Coturnix japonica: one gene and its partners. The protein of the gene in region 1 interacts with the protein of each later gene in a biochemical or structural test. Links are inferred from orthologs where the notes say so. Each region holds a gene or a part of one and is shown on either strand. Other genes may lie near its edges.

Region 1 (4,225 bases):
AAATTTTTGTATGGCTTTGGTTTTAGTTTTTTACGCCTTTACCACTCATACTAGTATGTTACATCAGAAATTCATCATTTTGTTACTTAGACATCTTCAAATCTCCAAAATCTATGTGTTTGTTGCCAGATTACACTGCCTTATGTTCTCTTTTGAATTCAGGTGGGATTGGAACAGACAAATGAATAAAGCAAATTGGAAAATAATGCACTAAAATTTTTGAAAGAACTTGCTCTTGTACCTCATGATTAGATAATGAGATGTCTCCCAGACACCGAACACCTATTTAGAATATTTCTAGCATACTATTTATAACTGGTATACAAGAATAAGAACCTAACATTTAATTTTGTCAATATGACAACTTCCCAAATATGGTCTTTGTGAAATTTTTAAACAGCAAAGCTTTGTCTATTTAATCCTAACAGTACTATGCCTCGTAACAGACGATAATCATGGGGAGGACTTTGTTCCACATTTCCTATTACCATGTCAAATGTGCAATACAGAATCAAGGCCAGAAGAGGCCATTAAATCAGTCTTGTAACTCTGTATTCGGATAAACCACCTGCACAACCAAGATCATACATTCACCTAATTTCCACTGCTTTAAGCCTCATATATTATATACATCTAAAATGCATCTTGAAAGGACATGCCTATCCTTGACTGAAAACATCAGGACAATGGGAATACACCGCTGCCCTTTAATGCTTGTTGCAGTGCCTGAATGTTACTACTACAATGTATGCCATTTTTATTTTGAAGTGTCCCACCTCCGCTCACTGTTAGAAAATAAAATAATGCCATTTCCACAGTTCAGTTTTCATTTCCAACTGATTCTTGGTTTTTCTCCCTCCTCAAGTAAAAAGCCCTCACTTTAGCCCATTTCCTGCATGTGCATTTCAGCTTCACAAACTCACTGTTCAGCTGTTTACACACCACATGTCCCTTAAACGCTTTCTAACAGAGTTTTGCCCTGGATAATCATATTGAAAAATAAAAAAAAAATAAAAATAAAAATAAAATAAAAACAACATGGAATCTAGTGCAAAACACACTTTCACACCCACATCACTGTTAAACAATCCAGATACTCAATGTTCAAGTACATTAATTCCTCCTAGAGTTATTGCCTTCAGTTGCTCTAAAATACATTTTGTCTGAATCAGTTCAGCTAAGAGACATATTAGTTGGGCTGCCTGGCCTAACCGTTATCTTTTCACTTGTCTTTATTCCACTTGATCCCCAAAACCGATTAATCATTTGCAAAAAGTGCAATCACCATCTGTTTTTTTGGATCAGATTCTGCTACAAGATTATCTCAGGTTGCGTGACACTGTGTTTAATAACCTACATTGCTGTTCCCAGCAACAGTTAAGTCTGGCCTCGACAGGGAAAGGATAACCTGGTTTTATTTTTAGAGGGTCTCTCCATTTGTATAAAAATCACCTGTATTTCACAAATAAGCTGACATGGACAGCATTTAGGAGCTAACCGTTCACTTTAATTTGCTATAGTCCATTATTATATGCCAGTAAAAAATTAAGCTATTAACAGTGCACAAAGATTAACAATGTGAGTACTGGTGTGTTTGATTATATTTTCCTGGAAGCTACAGTTCTATCAGTTTCTCACACATATGTCAGAAATTAAGTATATGCTTTCACAATTTCCAGTGCGTATTAAAATTCTTCTATTGAAGGATAAATATAAATTTAAAAAGAAATCATATTTAAATTTATAAAAATTATTTTGAAATGCAGCATGCTAGATTTATGCTTAATATATATCAAAGTTTGATTAAAAATGCAAGGCACATAGCTCTTATTGCAGCTCATTAAAGTGGTTGCTGACTGAAATACTGTCATTGAATCAGTTCAAACAGTTTGATTTGGAAGGATATTGTGCCTGTGAACTACTTCCTATATAAGTCACTTATCCTGTAAAGGATACCAGAGGTAAGTAATACTCTTACTAGCAGCTAAGAGCTGAACAAACAGCCAATTGCACATTTTCAGTATGCTTCTAGACAGTAATTTTAATATACTGCAACAAGGAGATTGTTTGCCACTCCTTAATCAATTATGATTTCATGTTTTCCCAGGAAACATTTACACTCATTATCTAATTTGTTTCCCATTTACTTACAGTTTTCATTATTTACAGATCACAGGCACAGTAAGCTGTGAGTTACAGTTTTGTTTTATCCTCTGCTATTTTTATGGTCCCGATATCATGGAAGATTCCACAAGATTACACAGTCCTTTACACAAAAATGAAAGTGTAGGGCAGACATATTTCAATATTCTGATTTCTCAGCATAGCTGCTTAAAGAAGAAAGAGAAATTCTCTGTTGCACTTACCTGTAGAAGGCTGGAGGAGCAGTTTCCCTCATCCCGAAGCTGCCCTGTTCGTTTTCAAGGTAGTAGGGTACCTGCTGGCTGTGGTGATGGATGAAGGGTGAGAGCTGGGGTGCCGTTTGCAAGAACACCACTGGGCTTGGTGGGACATTGTTCAGAGAGTGAAATCCTGCCAGGCTGCTGGACCCAAAAGATTCAGAAGTAGGGGCATAACTGAGTGTAGTAGAGCCGTACACTGGAGCGGTAGTACCAAAATCGTAGGTGGCCCCTTCTGGGTAGTTAAAAACTCCTGTCTTGTTGCTTTCCACGTACATGTCGCTGAGCGATCGTTCCAGGGGAATCTTCAGCTGAGGTCTGCTCAGAGTCTCCAGTTCAGTGCCTTGAATCTGGTGCAGCAGGGTAACTCCAGAGGCTTTGGTGTGAAGGGTCATGGTCATTGCTAATGGCAGGGAGCAAGGAACATATCTGCTTTTACTGTCAACAGCAAGATCGGCAGCTGGCAGTCCACCTAAAAAAAACACCAGAACCTATTCTGAGGCTCAGCAGAAATCATGTTAAAGCAGCACTACACAGGTATTCCTCTGATCTCGGCGAGGAGGAGTATACAAACAAATGCAGGGTGAGCACTGGAAAGGCACATTCTCCCTCTCCCTCTAACTTTTGAGAACTCCTCATCTGCTCTAATATGCGTTACAAGGTGCTGGCTGCAAGCCAGGGGCTCTTGCCTTGTGCCGACGCTGATTTAAACATCACTTCAGAAACAATTAGTTTTGGAGGTACACCAAACAATTGTCCCACTAAATGTTACTTTATTCTTGCTAGTCATTTAATTTTTCACTGCAGGGCAGCCAGCACTCCACAGCAGCTAACGGGAAAGGACGCTGAAATCAGACCAGAAAGACTAGTCCAGTGGTCAGCCAGATTACTGCCTTTTATTTCCTCAGCAGGCTCCAATCTATCTGTGCTTATCTCTCCCTGTTTGATTCATTTTCATGTTTGCTAGAAATATGTAATGTGTACATTGTAATGACCCTGGATAGGACTATGCTGTAACTGAGATATGGCAAAGCAAAATGCATGTGCAAGCGCATGCATCTGTGTGTGTAACAAGTCTCTGTCAACAAAACTAGCTAACAGAAATTAAAGAATGTAAAAGATTTGTGTAGGACAAAAGGTTTATAACAAGCTTTATCAGTAACAGTGACCCAAACTAGTGAAGTGAAAATTTACATTAAAAAAAGTGAGGAAAAAATTTAGATTAGCCCATAAATTCCTGTCTGTTTCTGTTTTACCTTGTAAAACAATGAAGCAAAGCATCTTTCAGACTTTGCCATGGTAAGACCTTAGAAACTAGGAAGAAAGATTTCAGCGCACAAAAAAGGAATACAGGATTTTTTATTTTATTTTTTTCTATTCCCACAAACAAAAGCTCAGCAAGCTTAGATTTTGCTATCAACTTGAAAATAAAGTACTTGATTGGAATCAGTGTTAAAGTAAACTGAAATAATTCTCAAAGTTATCTTTAGGGGAAAAAAAAAAAAAAAAAAAAAAAAAGGTGGAGAAAGGACATAATGAAAAGGTGTGGCATGCATACCTCATCTTGCAATCTCATCCCAAATAATTTTAACTTTTCACAAACCACATCTCCTGAACCAGCTAAATGAAAACCTTCAGAAACCGTCCCAATTTCTCTAGCATCATTGTTGTGGTCTGCAATTCACTCAGTTAAACAGGTTAATGTTGACCCTAAACACATTAATATATGGACTTGAGTTAGTATGATTTGAATACGAGCAAAGCCTACACTAAACAACTCCACAGTTATTCAATGCAACCTTTGAAAAAATGCAAGAAACCAGAAA
Region 2 (4,042 bases), about 10 Mb from region 1:
GTGATGTGCTTGATGGAGAGTAAACTCCTACATCTTAGAATAGGGTGTCACTGACATTTAAATTCATCTGGGAGATGGCTGCACATCCGTACGAGAGCTGCATTCATACTTGAAATCATAGAATCCTACAGTCACAGAATGGCTTAGGCTGGAAGGGACCTAAAAGACCATCCAGCCCCAACTTCTGCCATGGGCAGGGCTACCACCCAGCAGCTCAGGCTGCTCAGGGCCACATCCAACCTGGCCTTGAGCATCTCCAGGGATGGGGCATCACAGCCACTCTGGGCACCTGTGTCAGGGCCTAGGCACTCTGTCTTAATGATCTCTCTTCTTTTAATTAAAACAATCCCCCTTTGTCCTGTCACTGCCAGACCATGTAAAAAGTTGGTTTCCCTTTTATTTATAAGCTCCATAATCAACACAGATGATTTTGAAAGGGATCTTTAAGCAGTTGTTAGACTATTTAAAGAAGAAAAAAAGCCTATACCAGTTACTTCCCTTTAAATCCAACAAGCTTTGATGTTGACTAACAACGTAACTACTAAGAAAAATGATTCTTATCTGGATGTCCTTGCATACCAATTGCTGTTTTATTGTTTCACGGTCTTTTACCATCTGCATGCACACAAACACATTCTGTGTTACATTAAGTTGCGTTGCTGTTTCTGCAGGTATCTGTCTGTCTATGGACCTCTGTCTTGCAGACTTTGGGATTTAGTGGTGCTGCGATGTGGAAGGCCTTTCCCCTGGAGTTCCTGTCTTTCACAGCTGCTTACTGACTAGAAGAGGGAACAGAAAGTGAGGTCTCATTCAGGCTGCCATTAAGGTCTGGTAGGGTTATCCAGAGCTACCTAAGGTAAAGGAGCAGAGTTTCTGGTAACTTGGATGGGTTTTTGGGGGGTTTGTGGAGTGCTTGTGGGGAAACCTGCATGCGGTGGATGTGCAAACAACAGCAAGCTTACAGACATTTCAGTTTCCAGTGGGTGTAAAAGCATCTGCAAACCTGGCTTTCCAAAAGCGGTGCTTTAGTATTACCCTTAAAAATAACTAAACTGGGGTAAAGCCTTTCCGTCACGCCGAGGAAGACCCTTTCCCCGTACGGTGCTGGCGGCACTGAGAGCCCTGAGCATCTCCCGATTCCCACCTTGCACCCCTACCCGGACTCAGCCCCGCACCACCCACGGGGCCGACCGCGCCCCCTCCCCCGGGTCCGGGGCGGGCCGGGGGCGGCTCGGCGCGGTGGGGCGGAGCCGCGGGCCAGGCCGAGCCCAGGCGGGCCGCTCGGGAGCGGTGGGGCTGGTCCTGCTCCGGCCGAGCGGGGAGCGGTGCTATCTCCGCGGTCGCCATGCCGCCGCCGCTCGCCCTCCTTGCAGGTGCGCTGGGTCGCGGGGAAGGGAGGTCGGGACGCATCCGCCGTTAAGCCGCGGGGTCACTGCCCGGCGTGCGGAGGAGGCGCGGGGCGGGGGCCGGGGCCCGGCGGTGCTGCGGGGCGGGAGGGAGCGGGGGCGGCCGCTCAGCTGCCGTGCGGATGTCGCCCGGAGCCGGGCTGCGCCGCCCTCCGCTCTGCGTCTCGTTGCTTTGCGGGCTGGGGGCTGCGTGCTCGCGGTGCTGCGGTGGCCGTGTGCCCGCCGGGCTGAGCGACGCTGCCTGCGGGGCTCGCTCTGCGGACCCGTAGTTTGGCGGCTGGAGGAGCGGAGCGGAACGAGTCGTTCTGCTGATGGCCTTCAGCCTTCCGAGCGGATTTTTTCCCTAGACCTCGCGTGATTTACTGGAATGTTCCGAGCTCTCCCTGTTAACTTGCAGTGTCTGATGACCGTGACTAGGAAGCACGGCTGGAGGTGCGGCGGTGACTGTTGTCCGTCCGTCCGTCCGTCCATCTGTGTGTGCGCAGCTAACCTCACCCTCGGCATCCGCGTTGGTGCCCGGCCCTGGGGCTGAGCTGCGAGCTGCTGGCAGTGTGTGGTACTGACCGATGCGGCCTCCAGGTGATGGAATCGGGTGATGAATGCTCACGGCAGCCTTCTACCGCGTGTTTACTTTACACGCCGCTGTTACCGTTCGCCCATTAAATCATCGTGCATGTCTTGTGCTAATGCGTAGTAATGGACTTGAAGGACGGGTAGGTGCTCGTTAATTGATTATGGCTTGCTGCAGGATGCTGTGCTCCTGACTAAGTGCCTGTAGTTGGATGATTAAAATGCAGACTGGAGAGCTCTTCCAAGCTGTTGTATAAGCAAGTATTTCCGTAGTGTGGAAATTGTATTATGTTTATATTGGGTTTTGGATGTGCCTATGTGTAAGTTTGTGTGTACGTACTCAGACTTCAGGAAATTAATGAAGAACACAATAGAAAATAGAAAGAAAAGTGTATGTGCCTATATAGTTTCTGAATGGAAGCTACATTATCAGCAACAGATGTAAGGCAAGGTAAAAGATACATAAGTCAAGCGACTGCATTCTCTGTTGTCCTTGCAAGGTTGTCCTTATTCAGGATAATGTTCGTAAATATAAGCAAACTATTTTAAGGATCAAAACCCATAAGTAACTTGGGTTCTGTGAAGATCTTTAGTGGAGTTGTTGGGACTGCTTGCAGACATAACATACTTTACAATGACTTTTCTTTTTTTCTTTCTTCTTTCTTTTTAATGAATCAAATTCTCTAGTTTGATGGAAATTCTGTACTTGGGTTAAATTCAGTACTGTTGTTGTTTATTATGCCATTAAAAAAATAATAATCAGGTATTCTGAAAAATGAGTCTTATCTAAGTTGCAAAGTCAGGTCTCTGAGTCACAGCTCTTGCCTTTGCCCAGTGGGCTGTTCTCTTATGTTTTCACTGGGTCAATGGCCACGTTCCGATTTTTATTTGCTCGTCTATTGCTGAAATGATAAATGATTCCCTTTGGAGATGAAATGACTTAGAATTGATTGGACAAGTACTTATCTGGCAGGGTAGGAATACTGTTTTATTTTGCTTTTTGTATCCAGGGTTTTGAAAGAGAAGACTGAGGTTGGCCAGGGGTTGCCGCTGTAAATACTTGGCTAGGTTATGGGTCTGACCTCTCTTCAGTGGACAGCTTATGTGTAGGTCTGTTCTTTTAAGTGATTCATTGAAAAGTGATTTGTGTTTGAGAATAACATTTCTTTATAAGGTTATTAATAAGACTGTATAAAATGCTCTAGATATGTACAGCATCTGCAGGGGGTCCCTGCAGCCACCCCATCTGGGTGAGCATGTCAAAGGTGGAAATTAGTGCGATCCTCTGGAGCGTGATCTGATGCAAGGACCTGCTGCTTCAGGCAGCTGGAAATTTCTGCTGAAAATAATTACGATGCAAATAGAGGATGAAGGGACTAATTTCCCCTTTGCTTTGAGTGAATCTGCTGTGACCGTGCAAGGAGTGACAGAGTGACAAATCTCTTCCTTCCCACAATCAATAATCTGTACACGTCCGAGGTTTTGCGGGCTCAGCTCTTGTTTTGGTGAAGCATCTGCTGGCTGGTACAGCGCTGAGGGTGGGGGTGTGTACTGGCCTCTGTGCTTCTCATTTCTTGCTCCCTGCTGTGAGGGCACTTAGTCTCAAGGTCTGCTCTGTCTGTGTGTGTGACACAGAGATTGCGCTGCTGCTTCAGGGCCTTCATGTGGGCTGGTATCACTTTCCCTGAAAGAGGAAATGTAACTACAGCTGAGGAGTGAAATCAGCACCAAGAGGGCTCACTAAGGGGCCTCCTTTGGTAAGAAGGAAAATAAAGGTAGGAGAATAGAGTTTTTAGACTTATTATTTTAGATCAGACTTCCTTATTCCCGAGACATTTCTCCCTAGCTTTATTCCTGAGACAATTGTAAGCAAACCAGAGGGGATTATATTCCCACTATAATCACATTGTTTTAGTTTGACGCATCAAGCATGTTATGGGAATATTTTTCTTCCTTTTCTTTTCAAACCCTTCAATTTGTGGGTGGAAAGCCACATGGAAACATCAAGCAGGTGTAAGCAGCTGTGAGCTGCAGCCAAAAGACATCTACTGTTTATTCATTTTGAA
Region 3 (4,198 bases), on another chromosome or scaffold:
GCACGGATGGGCAGCACACAGTTCTCCCAGCAGGCTGCTGTTCAAACACGGTGTGTTTATGGTGGTGGGGAGCCAGGAGGCTTTGTATGGCTGTTCTCCTGTGGGCTGAGGGCTGTGTGTGCACATCCAGGTGAGTCAGCACCAACCTCCTGCATCAGCACCTCCAGGTGTGGCTGTGTGCGTGAAGGAAGGTGCAGCACAGACAGGCTGCAGTTGTGCTGCCTCTGCAGGTTTCAGTGCACAGAGCAGTGTGTGCCCAGCACAGCTCATGGGGCTGCATTGCAATGCTCCCCTATGATTCCCTATGATGCTCCATCCCTGCATTCAGGTGTCCTTCCCACACTGTACCTCCAACAGCTATTTCTACAAGTCCAAAATGCCAGAAATATAACAAAAAATCACCAAAATGTGACACGTTTTTATTAAAAAAATAATTTACTGCATCTTATGTACAAATCAAATGAAGGTCCGCTCATTAAATACTGACATCAGTGACAAAAGCTGCAGGCAGGAGAAGCGAGCTTTCCTACTATGTTGAACCAGCTGGAACTCAAGGCAGGGATGTTTGTTCAGTGTCTGTAGCTCAGTGTGTTCCTGAGCCATTCCAAGTATTGCCATATATATATTGAGGTGTATAGGGAGGATGAAGTGGTGTTCATGCAGCGTTATTTGCCGTACGTTTCACTGCTCTTAGGTAATCCAATCTGTGAGCAATCCTGTTGCAGCTCATGGCATCGTGGGGAGGAGATGCGATGTGATGAGAGGCAGGAGGCGTTCATGAAGCTGGCTGCACGCCCTGTAAGATCTGATGCTTCTCCCTCCTGCTGTCTGAGGAGGATTCTTGGTGGCTGTCTGTGAGATTTCATGCACAGCAGACACTGGCTGATACTTAAAGATCTAATTCCTTACGGCTTGCACCTGGTTGTACTCTACAAGTGATACCACCGAAGATACTCAGCACCCCTAAATACCACTATCAGCACAGAGCCATCACGGGCAGCAAGTTGAGGTCCAACCTCATCTCATGGAGTTAACAAAACACACATTGATTTTAATTGAACTGAGGATTCACTGAGATATAAAAAGCCTGGAGCAGGCTCTAACTCAGTCTGCTCTGTGTCACAGGGCTGGCCTGCTTGCTAGAAACTCAGTACCACCAGCCACACACACTCACATTCCTCAAAACAGACTGGCAGAGGTGGAGCAGCCATGCTGAATCAAGGCTGCTTTCCTTTATGCTCTGAGCCCTACAGCCTAGAGAGAGGCACACGCAAAGCCCTGTGGAGCTGAGTGCCTGACTGCCTGCTCCACAGTCCTCCCTGCTGCCCTGCCAGGTGTTGTTGAGCACCCCCAGGGCTGTGGCAGAGCACAGCAGCTCACAGAGCCACGCGTGGTGAAGGAGCCGGCTGCCAGCTGGTGATTTCATACAGCATATCCACGATGAGCTCGACAATGTCTGCGTTGCCAATGATGGGTCGGAAGAAGAGGTCTGTGATGAGGGCAGGAGGGATGGATTTCAAGGTGGAGGTGATGAGTAAAATGAGGGTAAAGCGGTCCTGGTCCTTGGGGTGTAGGATCTGCACAACTTCCTGAAGCGCTCGCTCGGCTTCCCGCTGGAGGCTCTCGATGTACAGGGAGGCTGTCAGCCCTGGGACATCTGCCAAGAGAAAGGAGGGAAGGATGTGAAGAGGAAGGCTGGAAAACAGCTCGAGGTTTCTCCCATCTCTCTCCCCGTATCTTGGAGAAAAACCTCAGAGCCATTAACAACATGTATTTCAGGGCTGTTGCTTTGAGGGAGTAAATACAGCTAATGAAGCAAACATGGGCTTTGTAGAGTAAGACCCAGGGTTCTTTGATTGCAAGGTAAGGAGGTCTCTGCTTTTAAACACTACATTTTCAGTATCCCTCCTCCCTGCTTCCCAGAGGTAAACTGCATTGCTGGTGCTAATGATGTGAGCAGCTCTCCCTGCTCTCACACACACTTTTGCCCAAACTCTGAGCGACTCCAAGCCAAGAGCAGTGTTTTTAAATGCTAACTCATGCAGGGCTTTCTCTTGCCACCAGCAGGCAGAGCTGGGAGGGTTGAACACTCACCAGGATTAAAGAGAATGGCTCCCTTCAGGTAGGCGTATTCTTTGGGGCTCAAGTCCAGGCTCCAGAAGGTGTTGAGGCTGCACTGCAGCCACTGCACAGCGGCCAGCATGGGCTGAGTCCACTCAGGCTCCTGCCTTTTGCTTTGGCCATCGAGGAGGATCTTCTCAAGCATGCTGGGGGCTGGGGTCTCCATCACCTCAAATGTCACCGTCTCCTGGACCAGCCCCAGGAGGAAGAGGGGGACCCAGCAGCTGTCCAGCAGCAGGAGCTGGTCCCCTCGAGGCAGCAGGTGGAAGGAAGGGAGGTTTTTCATGAAGCTGATGGTTTTCACCAACACGTCGGATGCAGCTTGGCAGGTGATATGGGGTGTCCGGAGGCAGACCGTCCAGCGCTGGTGGCACAGGCAGCGTTGGTGAGGTGGGCTGTGGCTCAGGTTCTGGCTGAGGAGGGTGTAGAGAATGGCTGGGTGTTTGTCTTCATGCTGGCACTGACACCTCTCGCAGTCCATGTCTATGCTGCTGGTCATCAGAGCAGAACTGGGAGCCCCGGATCCTCTGTGAAACTCCGCAGATGGGAGAGACCTGTAAGTTTCCTCCCCGTCTCAATCTGGGAGTGACCTGTCCTCCCAGCTCTGCCAGCACATGGCTGTTCAAACAAGCTCTTATAAGGCTCGGTCACAAGTGGAACACCCCTTCCCAGCCTTGACCGCTCCGTGATTAAGCGGTCCTCATTAAAGAAGAAAAAAAACAACAAAAAAAAAAAGCCACCAACCCCAGCTGTCCCCAGACTGATTGGCTGGAACCAGCAGGATCTCAGCATGGCGTCAATGGCCGTTTTCTCAATGAAACCCCAGCAGGGGCAGCGGGTTGGGCAGCCTTATCACAATTACCCAAACAGTATAAACAAAGTCATTAACCCGGGCTGTACCATGGCACCAAGGCCCCACGCTGCAATCAGGTTGTGCTATCTGGCAGCTGTCGCTGCCAAGGAGTTCACACACACACACACATACACACACACACATACACACACAGGGTGTTCGTCTGAAGCGAGGACCCCATGGCAAATGGCCTTGGAAAGAGCAACCTGGAAGTCATTTTATCAGCAGCTGTTTGCCTAACCTTGTTGACAGGAGATCGGTGTTGTTGCAGTTAAGGAAGGTGGTGAACTGAAAGACTAAACCTAAAGGCAGCAGCCCATTGTGCTGAAGGAGTAATGCTGGGTAGGTGAGAGGCAGGTTTATAGGTTTTTACCTTGAATTGCTCTGGAATTTGTATGTTTTGATCAGCATTAGTTAAATGACAGCACACAATTATGGATTCCAGTGGGGCCTGTGAGGAATTCCTCACACAGGGGGTGCCTGGTGAACCCTGTGAGGATGGGAACAAGTGATTTGGCAGGACACGGGGAAATGGTTTTAAGTTAAAAGAGGGAAGATTTAGGTTGGATGTTAGGGGGAAGTTCTTCACTAGGAGAGTGGTTAGGCCCTGGAACAGGCTGCACAGGGAGGTTGTGGATGCCCCGTCCTTGGAGGTGTTCAAGGCCAGGTTGGACGGGGCCCTGGGCAACCTGATCTATGGGGTCTCTATGGGGTCTCTATGGGGTCTATGGGGTCTATGGGGTCTCTATGGGAATCTATGGGGTCTATGGGGTCTCTATGGGGTCTATGGGGTCTATGGGGTCTCTATGGGGATCTATGGGGTCTCCTGGGCAACCTGATCTAGTAAATGTGTATGTTTTATGGCCCTGCCAGGCAGGGGGTTGGAGCTACATGATCCTTGAGGTCCCTTCCAACCCGGGTCATTCTGTGATTGATTCTGTGATTTAAGGGCACGCAGCTCTTGGTGCACAAATGGGATGGAACTGATGGCCACACTGATGGCTTTTCACCAAAAAAACACCCATCTACCTGCATTTGTCGGCCAACACAAGTCAGCCTGGGGAAGCGGCAGCACCTGCTGATTGATTTAATGGAGCAATAGGAACCCTATGGGGATAAGGACCACTCACTCTAATGCACACAGCTCTCAGTGCAATGGAGTGAACCCAGCAATGAGGCCTACAGCAGCCACAGGGACCAGCATAGCCTGTCCATACTGCAGAT
Region 4 (3,977 bases), on another chromosome or scaffold:
TAACGGCCTCTCCTGGCATTTTCACTATGCAGCTTTTTTCGTGTGCTATACTCTGTATGTTTTACAATACTTGAATTTAAACTAAGTTTTAATCGCTTTGAGGCACTTTAAACAGGGATACAAACTTACCAAAGTAAATAGCGGTACAACAATAAAAACAATAAAACCTGAGCTTTGTGTGTCCGTCCTGAGGGGGACTGGGTGGCAGAGAGCACAAACAAAAGCTGGTTTATGATCATTAAACATGTTCAGGGCTCCTGACCTGAACAACCCGCTATAAACAAACCTTGTACAGCAGTAAGAGCACATAGAGTAACATGGAAACGGAGCACAGGCAAACAGAAATGAGAAATAAATAGAAAAACCAACCAACTAAAGCAAAGGAAACAATAAATAACGATCCAGAATGATCAGTATGGAACTGCACTGAACACTGCAGCGACTTGTGCATGTTTAATGCTATCGACACCAAGCACAACTGAATGCAACGTACAACACAATGTAATGAATGTGGTCAAACCCAAGCCAAACCAGGGTTACTTTTCACCTCTAAGTATTTTCTTACCTCCTCCTTAAGGACGTTGTGCCCAGGTGCCGCTGTCGGACCCCAAGGTGCAGGTCTGGCTGCTGGCGGATCTTCCCATCATTATATTCCCTGTGTTATTGAATGGAAATCTCCATCTGTCCATGTCCGTGTCGTTACTTCAGAGCAGAGCAGGCCGCGCTGTGGTATCACAGCCAGCTTCCTCTCCCTTCTATCCCCTCTGGTGTCACACAAGCCCTGTCTATGTGCATTACAGACGATTCCTGCAGTTCTATGTGCATTACAGACACTATTCCTGCAGTTCTATGTATATTATAGACACTATTCCTGCAGTTCTCTGTGTATTACAGACTATTCCTGCAGTTCATGGTCACTCACAGCCGCTTTCTCCCTTTCCCGCCATGTTCTCCTTTCCCGCCACTCGACGCTCCATCTCGCGCCTCACGCGGCCCCAGAGCGCGGCAACGCCGCGCGCCGCCTCCGCCCCAGCCCCGTGAGGCAGCGCTCCCCGCAGATTCGCCACAACGCCTTCCGCTCTTCCTTCTCACCCCTCGCGGCGCGGGGCGGCCCTCGGTCTGACAGCGGCTCCGAGGTGAGCGGGGCGGACGGACGGATCAACCCCGCGCTACTCGGACACCCGCGGGAGGGAGCGGGGCGGAGGCCGTGGCGAAAGTGCGGAGCGGGGCGCGCAGGCGCGGTGTTCGCAGCCGGCTCGGCCCGGGCAGGAACAAAGGAGCGGCGCTGCGGAGCGGTGCGTGTGTGCGGGGCGGGACGGGCGGGGGGGCTCGGTGCCGGGATCGGTTCTGGGCTCGGTTCTGGGCTCGGTTCCGGTCTCGGGTTGGCGGCTCATCGCGGTGCCGAGGGGCTCAGGTGGGCGCTGCCCGCGGGGCGGCTCCGCTCGCGGCCTCTTCCCGGCGGCGCGGCCTCCGCGGTTACACGGGCCGGGCCGGTGTGTGAGGGTCCGTGTGGAGCCACGAGCTGGAACCGAACGGAACCGAGCGGCACCGAACGGAACCGAACGGAACCGAACGGCGGAGGAACGTGAAGTTCCTGCGGGAGAAGCGCCGTGAAATGGCCGCTGGGCTGAGCGGGGTGGCATTAATGGGACGGTTGTTCTTTTGTCTTTCAGAAACACGAATGTAACGTCAGGTGGCTGAAAATTTGCCTGTCAAAATGTCAAGTAAGTTTTCGGGCTTTTCTTCCTTTGGTGAATTTCGGATCCGGTTCCGCGGGCTCTGGGGCGCTGCCTGTGGGCCTTGTGCACAGAGCAGCCGTTCCTGGTTCCCGTGGTGTCTGTTGCTGTGCCGTCAGCTCTCACTGCAGCTCGGGCTGCACGGAGCAGTTCCTGGTGCCCACCTGGAGCTCTCAGGAGCTGCTGCAGCCCAGTCCAAGCGTTTGGTCTCACAGCAAATCTGTCCCAGCTTCTGCTGAGTCCTGCTTCCCTGTTTTGTTTTGTTTCCTTACCCTCTTCTTAACCGATGTGCCTGTAAACGTATCTCAGGTTCCTTCATCTGCCTAAATAAAAGACCAGAAATGTAGCAATGATGTGGGGTTTTGGTTTGATTTTTTTTTTAGTCTCTCCTTTGCTGTGTGCTCCAAAGTCTTTGAGCTGGGTCTGTCTTTTAGTAAATCCCATTAAAGCATTTGCCACAATGGATGCCTCTTAAAGAACTCATTCACATTTTCAAGGATTTTCTTTGCTTACGTTTATATTTTAACAGAAAGGCCATCTTATGCTCCACCTCCTACCCCAGCTCCTGCAACCGTAAGTACAGTGCTTTTTCTCATTAACACAGATCCTGTAGCAGAGCTGTTAGTGACTTACCAGAGCCGTAACAGTGGAGACGCAGCACCTTCCTGTGTTGGAAAAGCACGCTTGTTGTATTTCATTGTTAGTATGATATTCCTTGTTTAAAGTCATCCCAATTTCAGAACAGTTTGCAAAAAAGAAGCTGAACAAACTGGTTTCATCTTAAACATCTGCAGGATGTGGCCCTTTTTTAATCAGCAGTCACTGGGATTATTTACCTGTGTGGCCATTGAACTCATGCAGCCAATGCTGCCCATTGGGATGCTGGAATATTGAAGGCCAAGTCGATACGGTTCATTCTCAGACTCCCTGCTCAACTTTTACACAAATGATGAGCAAAAACAGGGCACGTTTTTGTGCTTCTGACACATTTTCAATGGGATGCAGATTTCTGTTATATTTGGTCAGAAAATGGAGACCCTCCGTGCTGGTAATCGTACTCAGATTTCATGAAAATGCTGATATTTTGGGGTCTGCTGCATGGCAAATCTCTTAACTTACAGTAAAGTGGTATGGAATGCCAGTTAAGAAAACGTGGCAGTGATGTCCAGTTGTATTCCTGCATGTATAAAAGTATCTTGAAATACTCGTGCTGTGGTTGGAAAAGCAGCTGAAAGCAAAGGCAGCTCTTGTTTTGGAAGCAATGCACTCATGGGAGAAAATATTAATGAGTGGAACAAATGAACGAGTAAGGATGCTCTTTAGCATGTGTCATTTCACACAGCTCAATAGATTTGTGCTCTTAGGAGGAATGTGATGGCAGCGGATCTCTCCTGTGGCACAGTGTGGGTGAATACTGAGGTGGTGCATCCTTTAGCCAAGCTATGACTTTGTCAGCAGTGCACACAAAACCAGGTTCATGTTGATGCTTTTATAGCCGTGATGTAGAATGGGTACAGTGAGCACATTGCTTTCAAAGACTGCTGAAATGGGTTTTAACAAAGTGGGACTCCAGTGTGAGACAGTGCAGGTAACGCATGAACCTGGCGTGGTGCTGCAGTGAGTGCTGGTGCAGCGCTCCATCACCCTTACCTGGCTGGTCTGCTTTATTTCCAACACCATCTGAATTCTGGACAAAGAAAAGAGAGTAGCTGAAGTGCAGGAGTGAGACTGACAACCAAGGGGAGACAGTGAACCTTGTGGTGTTTGATTACATCCCTGCTTACCCACATCTGTGTGCATGGAAATTAGATTTTCTCCATGTTCCAGGAGGTGAGAACAAATTGATCCGCCTGCAAGATCGGACAAAGATGTGTTTGGTTGTTCCTAAGATTAGTTTGTGGTTTCTAACCTGCACATTGCATTGCAGCGGTTCTTCAGCTCCGTCAGCCAGCGGCCTCCTAACAGAGCGGCAGCTCCGTGCATCGTCCTCTCTTGGTTTTTCTAATCCTTACAGTTCTCCAGAGTGTTTTGATTCTGCAGACCACCAGTGAAGTCCTCTGCTCCTGCTACTGTTGCACGGATGGTGCTTTGAGACACTCACGTTGTTTTTTTACCCTGTTTGCTGGCAACATCGTGTTCGTTAGGAGGCAGAAGGATGGCAAGAGGAGGAGGCAGAGATTTTTGCTGTTGTAGTAAATGTTGACTTGGGGAATTTTTGCCCCCATACTGCGCGCTGCTTTG

The links.
Region 2: the proteins of ESR1 (region 1) and NCOA7 form a complex in vitro, tested with the Homo sapiens proteins (2 studies listed by BioGRID). The link is inferred for Coturnix japonica from reciprocal best matches to the Homo sapiens genes ESR1 and NCOA7.
Region 3: the proteins of ESR1 (region 1) and NR0B2 form a complex in vitro, tested with the Homo sapiens proteins (2 studies listed by BioGRID). The link is inferred for Coturnix japonica from reciprocal best matches to the Homo sapiens genes ESR1 and NR0B2.
Region 4: the proteins of ESR1 (region 1) and SMARCE1 form a complex in vitro, tested with the Homo sapiens proteins (3 studies listed by BioGRID). The link is inferred for Coturnix japonica from reciprocal best matches to the Homo sapiens genes ESR1 and SMARCE1.

Annotation. Positions count from the first base shown.
Region 1 is NC_029518.1:44,172,475-44,176,699, reverse strand, and holds the start of ESR1 (estrogen receptor 1), read right to left. Parts: upstream 2,801-4,225; coding exon 2,367-2,800; intron 1-2,366.
Region 2 is NC_029518.1:54,320,344-54,324,385, reverse strand, and holds the start of NCOA7 (nuclear receptor coactivator 7), read left to right. Parts: upstream 1-1,242; 5' UTR 1,243-1,373; intron 1,374-1,622; exon of another isoform or gene 1,623-1,838; intron 1,839-2,003; exon of another isoform or gene 2,004-2,119; intron 2,120-4,042. UniProt on the Homo sapiens protein: Enhances the transcriptional activities of several nuclear receptors. Involved in the coactivation of different nuclear receptors, such as ESR1, THRB, PPARG and RARA.
Region 3 is NC_029538.1:1,621,961-1,626,158, forward strand, and holds NR0B2 (nuclear receptor subfamily 0 group B member 2), read right to left. Parts: upstream 2,801-4,198; 5' UTR 2,621-2,800; coding exon 2,095-2,620; intron 1,658-2,094; coding exon 1,377-1,657; 3' UTR 399-1,376; downstream 1-398. UniProt on the Homo sapiens protein: Transcriptional regulator that acts as a negative regulator of receptor-dependent signaling pathways. Specifically inhibits transactivation of the nuclear receptor with which it interacts.
Region 4 is NC_029542.1:4,157,577-4,161,553, reverse strand, and holds the start of SMARCE1 (SWI/SNF-related matrix-associated actin-dependent regulator of chromatin subfamily E member 1), read left to right. Parts: upstream 1-1,177; 5' UTR 1,178-1,295; intron 1,296-1,395; exon of another isoform or gene 1,396-1,414; intron 1,415-1,673; 5' UTR 1,674-1,717; coding exon 1,718-1,724; intron 1,725-2,265; coding exon 2,266-2,309; intron 2,310-3,977. UniProt on the Homo sapiens protein: Involved in transcriptional activation and repression of select genes by chromatin remodeling (alteration of DNA-nucleosome topology).